Kluyveromyces lactis: one gene and its partner. The protein of the gene in region 1 purifies or fractionates together with the protein of each later gene. This does not show direct contact. Links are inferred from orthologs where the notes say so. Each region holds a gene or a part of one and is shown on either strand. Other genes may lie near its edges. The genes, in order: ARC35 and ARC15.

Evidence for each region.
Region 2: the proteins of ARC35 (region 1) and ARC15 purify together in Saccharomyces cerevisiae (affinity purification with mass spectrometry; 5 studies listed by BioGRID, with this or other methods). This does not show direct contact. The link is inferred for Kluyveromyces lactis from reciprocal best matches to the Saccharomyces cerevisiae genes ARC35 and ARC15.

Annotation. Positions count from the first base shown.
Region 1 is NC_006042.1:670,936-673,917, reverse strand, and holds ARC35 (Arc35p), read right to left. Parts: upstream 1,805-2,982; coding exon 824-1,804; downstream 1-823. Other genes in the region: MRPS12 (mitochondrial 37S ribosomal protein uS12m), read right to left, coding at 2,205-2,708.
Region 2 is NC_006039.1:699,486-701,548, forward strand, and holds ARC15 (Arc15p), read right to left. Parts: upstream 1,190-2,063; coding exon 728-1,189; downstream 1-727. Other genes in the region: YRB2 (Yrb2p), read right to left, coding at 1-422; ARG56 (bifunctional acetylglutamate kinase/N-acetyl-gamma-glutamyl-phosphate reductase), read right to left, coding at 1,536-2,063. UniProt on the Saccharomyces cerevisiae protein: Functions as a component of the Arp2/3 complex which is involved in regulation of actin polymerization and together with an activating nucleation-promoting factor (NPF) mediates the formation of branched actin networks.

The DNA of each region.
Region 1 (2,982 bases):
CTTTTTTTTTCCTGATTCAATTTTGAAGCCGTTTTTGAGCCATTTTGAAGTTCGAAAATAAAAAAAAAAGGTAACTACCAGAACTTGGCGTAGGTTTTATGAGCCGTGCGCAAAGTGGGAGGTATATTATGATGGAGTACTGGATAATAGCATCCCAAATTGCCGACGATATCATAAAATATATTCCGTTTGGGTAAGACCCAGTAACGTGGGCGTAGAATTAATGAAGGAAAAAAAAAAAGCACAAATGGCATTACCATGTAAGGAATGGCTAAACAGGTAAGGCCGTAGGGTTTTGGTTCCAGAATGCAAGTTTGCGAACATTGGCAGTATAGGCTTGCCCAGCTGTCATTCCGTTCTGAATTGTGAAGTGGGGTTTGGACAGATAAAGGAAGGGGCAAGGCAGGGCAGTGCTAATTCCAGCCCAAACTTGACCGGCGTTAGTACTCTGGTTAGGCCATGTACCATTTACCTTGTGCCTTACTTCGCAGCTGCAACAAGGGTGAGGAAAATTGAAAATTAAGCTTCTTGAGCTTCTCAAGCACTCTAAAACTGGGACGGAATGGTCCGACTCGGAGTTGCGTTGTTTTTTTTTTTCTTTCCACTCAGGTAGGTTTTACCCGGTCTTTTTTTTTTTTTTTCCATTCCTCTTTGGTTGTGTTAGAACTGACTCAAGGCTCGAGCGTTTATTGCCCAGCAATTGCATGGCATTACGGAGGGAAAAAAATCTGAATAGGATCATCTACTTGTCACGTGATATAAATCGCTACATCGGCAGCATTCTATTTTATACTTTAAACACATTATTGAAACCAATTTCTACTTAGTAGACCATTTTTCTACCGGTGATTGTTCTACGTGAATCGGATTCAGTTTCTTCGTCTAGCTTTGCTCTATTCAAGACCTTGATGAATGTATCAACACGATATCTCATTCTTGAATGCATGTATGCCTTAGCACACTTGATATGGTAATGGAAATAGTTCCTGAATAGGGCAAGCTGTGACACAGATGTGAACATTAGTTCATCGGAGGAGTAGTGACGTGGGAACAATACAAATGTGATGAATCTCCTGGTAGACTTCTTAGCACCTGCAACGTGAGCGTGTTGTTGGGCTACTTCTTGAATTTCCAAAGGTGGTTCATGGGAGAATAGCACTTGAGGCGCAGATTGGATGGATCTATTTCTCTTTCTTGCGTCTACGAATTCTTGTAGGAAAACTTTACCGAAAACTTTGTCAGTTTCATCTTGGAATATAGTTTCGAATATAACAGTGATACGATCAAAGGACGGCTTGATGTATATGTTTTCATCATCTCTGTATTTGATAACCATAGCCCTGGCCTCCTTTGATTTTTCCACTTGGTCTATTTCATTCAATTGAGAAAGAGCATTACTCTGGCCAAACGCTAAATAGAATGGATATGACATTACAAGGATCTTAAACAAAGATGCTTGCACAATAGATTGCGCAGTGATTTGAGATAGATCAACAGTAATGGTAAAATCGTAACCGGCCTCCTTTTTAGCAGATGATAGAGCCAAACCTGGTACTTCATCGAATTTTGCCTGCAAGAACCCTTGTAAATCGTTCCCACTCTCATTACAAGATTGCGTAGCCTTGGTTCTGATGGAAACTAATAGGTTCGACTTATCAGTGCCATCGTTGGTGATGTGTAACGTTGTATAATCAAAGTCGGAGATGATTCTGTCCAAAGTTAAAGGAGACCCATTGTTGTAAGCTTCCAAAGCTTCTGTTAATGTCTTTTGGACCAATAGGTTGTATGGTTTAAGGTGTAACATTATTATGTATTGATATTAGAAGGCTCACAAGTGTTCACCCAGGCTTTTTTTTCGAACAAGTCTATGAGCTTTTCTTCAATTGACTTGGAACAATATCAACTTGTAAGTTTCCTCAACACTGAGCAGGTTTAGTCTCTTCGAAATTTCCCAATTCCTTGCAGATGATGAATCTTTCTTTCTGTTTGTTCCAATAGGGGCACCTTTTCGTTGAAATCGTTGTTAACTAAATTTTCAGCACTTTTCTATGATGGAAAAACCATCCGAACAAAATTTCGGTCACGTGGCCATAAAGATTGAGCAACCAGTAGATAGATTATTCGCATATTTACATGAAGGTCTAGTTTATAAACATAAGTATATATTTTATGTTGATAATTCAGAATATAATACTGTTGGTATCTTACTCCTTTGTTGGTTTCTTCACACCGTACTTCGATCTGGAGCTGATTCTGTTGACAACACCGGCCAAATCACCGGCACCACGGACAACATGATATTTCACACCAGGTAAATCTTGGCAACGGCCTCCACGAACATATACAATACTGTGCTCTTGTGCGTTATGGCCTTCGCCTGGGATATATGCAGAAACAATGTTACCATTGGTTAATCTCACTCTACAAGCTTTTCTCTGAGCAGAATTAGGTTTCTTTGGCTTCAATACCATCACTCTTAGCACAACTCCTTTACGAATCGGGCATACCTCCAAATCTGGGGATTCAGTGATCTTCTTACGGCCAGGAGGCTTGACCCCTCTCTTTATTTGGTTCAACGTGGCTTGTATTGGTGAAGTATATGAGAAAGAACGTTGTTGCAGTGGTGGTGCAAATGCTATGCTTGAACGAACATTACGCAACGATAGTCTAGTCAGACTACTGCTCAATCCGAAAACCTGTTTGAACATTGGTATCTTTGACAGGATTGTTTCTTAAGATCCAGTGCACGTAAGTCAAACTCAGAGTTGAACTTACGCCAACATTTATTCACTGACCGATTGATATAACTCTTTCAATTCAACATTTGCTTCATAATTTTTTGTCAGTTTCTGATGATGAAAAATCATAGTTGAAAATATTCGGAAGTCATGTGATCGAATATGTGTTGTTGCTGATGTCCGGGAAATTGTTCAGAAAATGTGCATGGTTTGAGAGATCTTTTAACCTAAAAGATTTTGTTCA
Region 2 (2,063 bases), on another chromosome or scaffold:
GCTCCAAATGGTTTAGTTGCCACTCCAAAGCCAGAAACAAAACTTGAAGATTGGCCAAATGTGAACGATGGTTTTTCCACGTCTTTTTCTGGTTTAGGTTCTGTTTTCTTCCCTTCTATCTCTGCCTTGGCGCCCTCATCTTTTTCCTTGGCCTCTTCTTCTTTTTTATTATTTGTATCTTCTTCTTTTGTTACCGCTGTTTCCGTTGTCTCAGCAGTTTCAATATTTTTAGGTCTCTCTACGGAATTGGCCTCTTCATTTGCTGTATCATTCTCTGTTATGAACTTATCAGTCTCTTCTGAAGGTTTTGCTTCATCTTTATCATTGAGTTTGACCTTCTTCACAGGAGTTTCTGTGCTTTCTAATTCCGAATTCACCTCAGGAAGCGCACGTTTATTGCTATCGTTTAAAGTTTCTGGCATTGTGAAAAGCAGGAACAATATACTGGAGCCTTCTTGACAATATTATAACCCTTTCTTGGCATATGTCTGTGCTTTCAATAAGAACTGAATGTTTAAAACTAGTACTTTCTCTTTTTTTTTTTTTTGGAAATACTAACTCTGAGAGGTCCCAGTAATACTTAATAAAGGGCCTGCACTCCATGTGAACAAAGGCCAAACAAACAAAGATCCGTAATGATCGCCCATTGGTAGGTGAAACTGGATCATATACGTTAGAGTAAATATATCATACTAAATTAAGTAAAATCGTACTGTTATATAGTTCTTTATACAGTTCTTCTATCCGAGAGATAGTGAACGATTGGATTGACACCCGCAACTTGCGTTAACTTTTCGAACCATGCGAGAAGGATACCCCCATGCTTTTGACCCTCAGGTATAGACATACCCTTGTATAGGTATTTTATCAATGCGTCTTGTTGCTTGCGATCCAAGCGCTTAACTATATTAGCAATATCCACTTGTCTCACTTGGGTTAGCACCTCCAATATACCAGAGAAATATTGTGATTTCGCTTGTTCGTCGGCGTTGTATGGAGGATCAGTTGTGAATAGCTCAACAGCAGCTGCAAAATCACCAGATGATGTGTAAGAACGTAACTGTTGAATGGTTGGCTGTAACTCTTGTAAACTCACGGTATGTGAATATGGTGGTTTCAAATCATCCGCCGTTAATCTCCCACTTTCAGGATCGTAAGCATCGATATCAATTCTTCTCCAGTCTTCCATATTACTAGTTCAGAAGGCAGCTGCTTGGATGAATACGATAAGGATAATTCAGCGCTAATGCTTCCTGATAAAAGAAGTAGACCGGCCTGCAGTTATTTCGAGTATTTTAACCTAATCCATTTAAAGGTTTCCATTCAATATGAATCCCATTCAATAGTAACTTATAGGAGATATCCGGGTAATAAATCTGGAAACAGGGTAACTATGGTTTACAGCACTGGACCGATTGACTGTTTATCACTGACAGGAAGAACGATAAGCAGATGATAACATTATCTTCTTATACATATATATTAACTAAGTTCAAATTGATATAGATATACGGGTTATTCTTTGGTGGTTCCGTTTATTGAATAATCTTATTGTCTGGAATACCGTCGTATTCACCGTAACTCAAGGCCAGGTTGATGTTCTGTAAGCATTGAGTGGCAGCACCCTTCAATAAGTTGTCAATAGTAGCACAGACTACGACACGGTCTTTTGCATCATTTACCTTGAAACCACCAACAACTACTCCGTGAGTACCAGAAACGTCCTTAACTAACGGAATATCATCGGCAACATGTACCAACTTTTCGTTAGCGTAGAATTCGGTGTACAAGGCCTTAATTTGTTCTGAAGATAGTGAGTTCTTCTTAATAGGAATAGAAATAGTATGAGAAATACCTTGGAACCATTGGGCAACATGAGGAACAAATGCGACTTCCAAACCCAAACGAGTTGAAATTTCACGCTCATGGATATGGTTTGTTAAGGAGTAAGGAATTAGATTGTTGTTCAAGAATTTTGGATCATTCTTTGGAGATGGTGTAGTACCAGCACCAGAATAACCAGAAACACCAAAGACTGTGGGTAATCCTGTGATGTATTCCGA